2 linked regions of the Macaca fascicularis genome follow. The protein of the gene in region 1 purifies or fractionates together with the protein of each later gene. This does not show direct contact. Links are inferred from orthologs where the notes say so. Each region holds a gene or a part of one and is shown in the gene's direction. Other genes may lie near its edges.

Region 1 (4,252 bases):
ATACCATATTTAATATATTACTCAATAAAGACGAAATTACAACAAATTTCGTTTTACATTACACATCCACATATTAAACCCCCATATATGTGTTAACAAGGTTAGAATTTAAGTATAATGATAATGTTCTCAGTTTTTTGTGGTGGACACTTCAGGGCAATTTAAGAGACTGTAAATAATAATAAAAATAATAAAGTAATCAGACCACTTGTGCTCAAGGCTAGACCCCTCAGTCCCAACGGCCTCAACCACCCTCAACTGCTTTTCCAACCAAATATTCCTCCCCCTGCAGGATCCCAGGGCCATCCAATCAACCGGCCAATGACGGTTTCACAGAAGCGGTCCTGGGGAGGGGTATTATCTGCAGGAACACGTCCTGCCAAGTTTGTAGTCGAGTCACCTATTTCGGTTGGTGGCGGCCGCTATTTCTTTAAAAGGGCAGTAGATTTCGAAACAGGAGGGGGAGATCAGGAAAAGGAACTCAGCTGCCTTTGATAACTGCCCTGCAACCTTCCCGTCCCGGAGCGCGTGCTCGGCTGGGGAAGCGCCCGCGGCCGCCGCATCCCCAAGCGGGCGCGCGGCGCCACCTCTTTCCGGGGCGCCCACCTTCCCCGGGAATCCCCCCGCCCGGCGGTCCCCCAGCGTCTGCAGCGCGGCCGCCCCGGCTTTGTCTCCGGCGTCGCGCTCGGGCGCCCGCTCTCCCCACATTTCCCCGTGTGCAGGCTGTAACCCGATCTCCCATTTCCTGGTGGATTCTCTTAAAGAGGCAGCGGTCGAGAAGCAGAACAAAGGCTATTGTTTTATTTCCTCCTTCGGATTCCGCGTCCTTACCGGAATGGCCCTTCATAGATAATTACTTTCGTTGCATCTGCGCTTAGGGAAACGTTTCAAAACCCTTGTGCAAATCGATGTATCCAAGAGATGGAGCCAGGGGAGGTGGGAGGAGTTTAATAAAACCTGTTTTGTGGTGTCTGGGGCCACGATGTAACGTTTTTTAAAGGTGTCTTCCTTAAGCCCGGAAATTGGCTCCGCCAGCGGGAGGTCTCGCGGCGTGGAGGGCGGGCGCCCGCACCGGGGGCCGGCCTGGGGGGCTGCGCCGCTCGCCCCGCTAGCAGCCGCGGCCTGGCGCGGCCCCGCTCCCCGGGTTTCCTCCGCCCGCGCCCCCGCGGCCGCCCCTCCCCCGCGCGGCTTTTATTTCCCCGATGCCGGGCTGTAACCCGAGCTTTTATTTCCTGGTGGCTCCTTTAAGAGGCAGAGCTCAGTGCTGGGAATTCACGTCAGTTTCTGCACTGAAACTCTCAAGATCAATGAGCAAAGAGCTTTCTCAGTTCTGCCTTTCAGTTTCTCTCTTCCAGGAAGGAAAACATTCGAGAGAGCGAGGGAGAGCGGCGGGAGGGCGGGGGGCGGGGGCGCCGGCTGCGGGTGGGAGGAGAGACCGGGAGGCTGGCCGGGCTGCGTCCCGGGTCCCCGCGCCGCGCCGCGACCTGCAGACCCCGCCGCCGCGCTCGGGCCCGGCTCCCACGCCCCCGCCGCCCCGCGCGCCCAACTCCGCCGGCCGCCCCGCCCCGCCCCGCGCGCTCCAGACCCCCGGGGCGGCTGCCGGGAGAGATGCTGGAAGAAACTTCTTAAATGACCGCGTCCGGCTGGCCGTGGAGCCTTTCTGGGTTGGGGAGAGGAAAGGAAAGTGGAAAAAACCTGAGAACTTCCTGATCTCTCTCGCTGTGAGACATGTCTGAGACTCCTGCTCAGTGTAGCATTAAGGTAAAAATCTTCTCCCCTCCCTCTCCGTGGTGGAAACCCTGAGCTGCACCGGCCAGGGCAGTCGTGCTGGGCTCCTCAGAGCGGGCTGTTGCAGTTGCTCTGTTCGCAGTAAATTATTTGGGGCGCGAGGGAAGGAGATGCAGCTCGCGGCGGCGGCTGTACCCTTTAGCGTAACCTTGCTACTCCCCACCGCCGAGCCCCTGCCGGCTCCTCGGCCCCCACCCTCTTGCTTTTTGACAATGAAATGCCGGTCACAATTGGTCAGGAGCAACCCGGATTGTCTCCAGAACTGTAAAACACCCCCGTAATTAGTGCGCTTAAAAAAACCCCCAAAAACCTGCTCCCTATTCCTACACCCAACATGTGACTGAAATGTAACTTTTGTCCCCGAGGGGTGGTCTTCTTAGAAAAAAAGTTCTTCAGTCCCAGCTGCGATAGAATCTTTTTCTTCATTTTTTTAAAGGACTCTCTGGGTCTGATCAGACATGATTTTTTTCCCCCTCGTCTGATTGTAATTGCAAGTGCTGTCGGAGAGGCAGTCCTGGTGTCAGCTTTTCCTAGGCATTGCACAATGAATTTTTTTTTTTTTAACCTAGGTGAATAAAGTTGCTGAATAGTTATTTTACTCTGATCCATATGAAAGTTGAGCAATCCCAAAGTAGAAAACTCCTGTGATGCAGGGAGAGGAAGAACTAAGCAAACCAGGCAAAATGACCTTCTGTGTTTGACAGTGCAGAGAGGATATCTAAGAGCAGCACCCTCCCAGCTTTCTGGCCGGTTTTGCAGTATTGTAAATGCAGGGCGGTGGATGTTTGTAAACACACTGCTGGGCTACCCAGTAGTTGTGTGTATGCATGTCTATATATCTGTAAAGACTGTGGTGCTGCGGTTTGTTGCTTCTGAAAAGTTGTTGTAAAGTTTGCCACCATTGGGAGGCAGGATGATTTATCCGTCTACCCCAGTTATTTTTCCCATCGCTGCATTTATTGTACACTTTATTCATTTCACTATTCCACCAGTACCCAGGTAGAAAGCCTTCCGCCCCTGTGAGAGGCTGAAGCTGCTGAAGTTTTGTTTTTGGTTTGGCCTATTTAATGTATGTTCATTGAATGGACATTACAGCAACAATGGACAAGTAACCTGTTTTCTTCGTCTGTAGAAAAACCCTTCCTGTTTTAACACTGCCTTTCAATTAGAATCTGTGTAGGGGAAACGCAGTAGTTCATCATACAGGCTTACTAGGTTTTTAATAATTAGAATCACATTTTGGTGTTTCTTACCAGAAAACATTTTCATGGGTTTGAGGAGAGGCTAATGTGAAATCAAAAGGTGTGTTGGGCTTCTTTGTTTTTGCCTCACAAAAATGCCCAATGGAACTTTTACGCTTTTGTGTTTGTACATATCTGGAGGTAGCAGTATGTCTGTGGGCATGGGGCGTGCCACACTAAAGAACTTGGGGTACTTTGATATTAATACTTCAAAACCAGTTTCTTTTGTGGTATAAATTAGATTCTACACCCAGTTCAGGAAAATCCTGCGGTATAGGTAATCTGATTTATTTGATGCTTCATAACATAGAGGTAACTTAAGACTAGGGTATTCAATCAATAAATTGTATTTAGCTCAGTGGCAATAAACCCAACATCAGGAAAATCTGGACCAGTTACAGATCAGTAACTTTAGGACAAAACAACAAAAAGCAATGCTTTCTGTGACCTTTCTTGATTCTCTTCTAAACTGCATCCCCACCGTTCTGATGGGCTTATGGTGGTGTGCTGGCTGCAGACTGCTACTGAGTGGTTTGTTTCATTGTGCTCCAGTCGGAAAAAGAGTACAACAGCCCTTTGCCTTACTCACATACAGAACCAATCCCAAGCAAAACGCTTTCTTAAATGCAACATGAAAATTGTGTCTATAATTTGCATATCATTTTTTCCTTATTGCTTACAACTCAGTTCTTTTAGGGTGCCTCTTTTCATTACTGTGTACTTCTATGTAATTAAAATAGATTTAATGTTCTTTACCAGAAAGGAAAGAATCACTTTTATTTTGGATTGTTCTTCATGGAACCAGTGTGTATTTGCGTAGACTGCATGTGTCTAGGTGAACGTATGTGAAAAGTATCTTTCCATGGAGTTTGTTTAATTCACAATGTTCCAATAATAAGCACTAGAGATCAAGGACTGGGATTATTCCGGGTCATCTGAAATGTTCTGGTGATGTGTGCTGCGTTTCATTTAGTCCTTGGGATGTGGTACGGTGACTGCATAATAAAAAATGTTTGCTGGTAACCCACAAGCAAGTTGCTTGCTGCTAGAGTCCAGTAAACAATACGCTTTTCTGTGTAGTGAAGAACAAATGTTAGAGGTTTTCAAGGATGAGCTGATGAACCTGATATACCAAACTCATGTGACACAAAAGGCTCTCACTATGGAGAGATTTCTCCCACTCCTTCTCTCCACTCCTGAAACCGTCCTCACTTGCTTTCATT
Region 2 (3,815 bases), about 500 kb from region 1:
AATATTGATTACATGTTGAGAGAAAAGAATTTTGGATTTGTTAGATTAAATAAAGTATATTATTAAAATTCTGTCTACTGTTTTATACTGTTTTTTACTCATGTTATTTCTTTTATTCTAGAAAATCTTTTTCTCTTTCTCTTTGTCAAAATTCTAATTCTTCAAGATGAATTTCAACGCCTATTATTTCCTGAAGTTTTTCCTGATTACTTACAGAGAGGGGATATTTGTGTAATTTTAGTGTAAATATCGTTTACCTCCCCAGTTAGATTGTAATACCTTAGCTAGAAGAGGCCCTGTTCAAACTTCTCAGCATTCATCATGTCTATCATGGTGATTTGCATTTACTGGATGTCTTTACTAATATTGTTTGATTTGCGGGGAAGTGAATTAGGGGTCTGGTAGAGCAGCAAAAGTGTACTCGTATGAAATTGTCAAATATTTGCTTTTTTTTGTTTACTGTTTTAGTTACTTTATATCTAACTAGCAAAAGTAAACAATAAAAATGGGAGTAGGAAATGGGAGGCTGTAGCTGTGTAGTTTCCTACTGGTTTCAGGATAAAGGTCTCTTGGTTTTTGTCTCCAGTTTAACAGTGAGTGGTTGTTTTGGTCTTTTATTTTCATGTATTCTTTTATATTTACGTATTTTTATTTTGAAGCACTACATTAAATAATTAAATACAATCATGTAGCTGTTTACATTTAGGAACTAAAGCATTTTAATAAAATGATTTTAAAGGGCAGGAACCAGTGTTTGCCAGGTAGTGCACCTAATACTGTGCTATATATTTAGCATTATTTTATTTGATCCTTAATTAATTCAGTGATGGCAGTGGCGCTGTCCCTATTTTTTTTTTTTTTTGAGACAGAGTCTCGCTCTGTTGCCAGGTTGGAGTACAGTGGCACGATCTCTGCTCACTGCAGCCTCAGCCTCCTGGGTTCAAGCGATTCTCCTGCCTCAGCCTACCTAGTGGCTGGGACTACAGGTGTGCGCCACCACGCCCAGCTAATTTTTTGTATTTTAGTAGAGACAGGGTTTCACCATGTTGGCCAGGATGGTCTCCATCTCTTGACCTCGTGGTCCGCCCATCTCAGCCTCCCAAAGTGCTGGGATTACAGACATGAGCCACCGTGCCTAGCCCGCTGTCCCTATTTTATTTGCGAGAACTTGCTTAAGGGTACCCACTGAGTGATAAAGCTTATATTTGAATCTGTTTCTGCCACAGTATTACTTGCTGATCATGAGAAATTTTTTAGAGAATAGAAGAATGAAGGGAAACTGGTAAATAGACACAGAATTATGTTTACTAAAAAGGTCTTGGAATTGTGGTATTTATTATTTTTCTCACAATGATTTTTAATTTAATTCTTACCTATTTTCTTTCTTTTTTAAAATTTTTTTCCTAGGCTGGAGTTACTTAGGCTGGAGTGCAGTGGCTTGATTATAGCTCACCGGAGCCTCAAACTCCTGGGCTCAAGCGATCTGCCTGCCTCAGCCTCCTGAGTAGCTAGGACTACAGGCTTATCCCACCATACCTGACTAATTTTTTGGTATTTTTTGTAGAGACAGGGCCTTGCCATTTTGTCCAGGCTGGTCTTGAACTCCTGGGCTTCAGTGATCCTCCTGCCTTGGCCTTCCAAAGTGCTGGAATTATAGGCATGAGCCACCATACCCAGTCCCATTTTCCTAATTCATACTTAATCATCCATCTTTTGTTTAAGCTGTTTATCAAAATAAACAAAAATGTTGTAAAGTGATATAGCTGAAACAGAAAAGATTTTGTTAGTTGATCCTGTAATAGTTTTGAAGTAGAAATATAAGTGTTATTCTTTAAAAGTTTAATATTGGACATCTAGTTTATGCTTTTACACCAGCAAATTTTAATAGGAAGGCCAACATTTGAATGTAAAGATCAGCAAAATTAGTGTAATTTATTACATGTAAGATAATGCAAAATAAGATAGAACTAAATCTGAGAATAAAACCAAGTCAGGCATATTTTAACATACCACAAACTTGGAAGAAAGTTATATTTTAGTGTTGTATAATACAGAATATTTATCACTCTGTGTTGGGTGCTCCCTGATAGACTGATTGAACTGTCCCTAATGCAGAACATAGGTTCACTGTTAAGTATATGACATTTTAGATGAGGTAGCAGTACAGTTAAGTATATGACATTTTAGATGAGGTAGCAGTACATGTTCCTGGAAATGCAGTTGGAAATGCTGCAGTAGAAACTGAGAAGATCTTGTTCTGTTCTGAAAGATGGAGCAAGCCTTCCAGAGTCCCATTGTTCAAGTCCCTACCTGAGACCATTTCTGCCACTTAAAGGGGCCTGTGTGCTGGGCAAATTAGCCTTTAGAAATGTTATTTCATACTAAAAACATGTACGTGTGAACAATATCTGCTTCTACCCTGCAAAAAAGTATCAGATATAATCTTACATGCAAATATTAGTTATATTATGTCAATAAAGGTATCCCAAGTTAAGTCAACACTGAGTAGTGCATGGTGAATGCACTGTGAATGCAATATGAATGCCAGAGTGAATTTAATAATGTTACTATTAGGTAGTTGGAAAGAGAAGTTACATCCTAGTTTCTTGAAACTTAGATGCAGAGAGGGTGTCATATAATCCAGATAGACTTTTGTGATTATAATCTCAGGAATGAGAGATAATTATTGAGATCCGTTTTATCTGTTGGTTGTTGTTACTGACAATAACAACAAAATAAAAAGCACGCTAAGTGGAAAGAGTCCTGAAAAAGACATCAACTGTGTTTACAAGCTCTGTGACCTTACATGAATCTCAGTTTCCACAGGCAAAGCTCTCAGGATAAAATAAAATATGTTATAAAACAAAACATAAGATAAAACAATGTATGTGAAGGTACATTATAATTTGAAAATAAATGTGCAAACTTAAGGTGATGATACTGTATTTTTAATTTTGCCACAGTCATTTAATAGAAGAGTTGCATAATCTAAAGTTGACAGAATTTTTAGAAGGACGAATAATATGAGATTGGGGGGAAAAGTGGTCAAATAGAGGCTTATATGGAATATTTGAAATCATTCTTATGAAATCATCACGTAATTTTGAGAAATCATTGTAATAGGAATACCAAGATGACTCTTGGATTTTTATACAACAGGCAGTTGGATTTGTTATTTTTGCATGAAGAATAAATACATGGTTCATCCTCTTCTCTTTTGAATTTAAACCTGAAGGTTATGAATACTGATGGCACTGGGAGACGAGTACTAGTGGAAGACAAAATTCCTCACATATTTGGATTTACTTTGTTGGGTGACTACGTTTACTGGACTGACTGGCAGAGGCGTAGCATTGAAAGAGTACATAAACGAAGTGCAGAGAGGGAAGTGATCATAGATCAGCTGCCTGACCTCATGGGCCTAAAGGCCACAAATGTTCATCGAGTGATTGGTAAGTAACTCCAAAGCTTTCTTAGAAACGGAAACCAGGAATGAAAAAAGATGGAGATAGTCAGCAGTGTAAATTATTGATGTTTTGAGGCAATTTAGAAATCTTCTTTACCCCCTTCTTTTTATACTAAGAAGGGACCTTTTAAACGTTGACTTTACTACTCTAGCTACCCAGGTTTGAATTGAAGGACTGAATACATATGCACAGGCACACCTTCATCCAAAGAATTCAGTCTGATAGTATGAATAACATACCTTATTTTAAAGCTTACTATGGATATTAAAGGAAAATACTTCACCATGCTTTTACTCCCTATTAATCTGCATATTATTTGTTTGTGATATTAGAATTGAAACTTGAGAT

What was found.
Region 2: the proteins of ETV6 (region 1) and LRP6 purify together in Homo sapiens (affinity purification with mass spectrometry; 3 studies listed by BioGRID and IntAct, counting the BioPlex papers as one, with this or other methods). This does not show direct contact. The link is inferred for Macaca fascicularis from reciprocal best matches to the Homo sapiens genes ETV6 and LRP6.

What each region holds. Positions count from the first base shown.
Region 1 is NC_088385.1:14,424,366-14,428,617, forward strand, and holds the start of ETV6 (transcription factor ETV6), read left to right. Parts: upstream 1-1,274; 5' UTR 1,275-1,728; coding exon 1,729-1,761; intron 1,762-1,820; exon of another isoform or gene 1,821-4,252. UniProt on the Homo sapiens protein: Transcriptional repressor; binds to the DNA sequence 5'-CCGGAAGT-3'. Plays a role in hematopoiesis and malignant transformation.
Region 2 is NC_088385.1:14,928,637-14,932,451, reverse strand, and holds part of LRP6 (low-density lipoprotein receptor-related protein 6), read left to right. Parts: intron 1-3,235; coding exon 3,236-3,452; intron 3,453-3,815. UniProt on the Homo sapiens protein: Component of the Wnt-Fzd-LRP5-LRP6 complex that triggers beta-catenin signaling through inducing aggregation of receptor-ligand complexes into ribosome-sized signalosomes.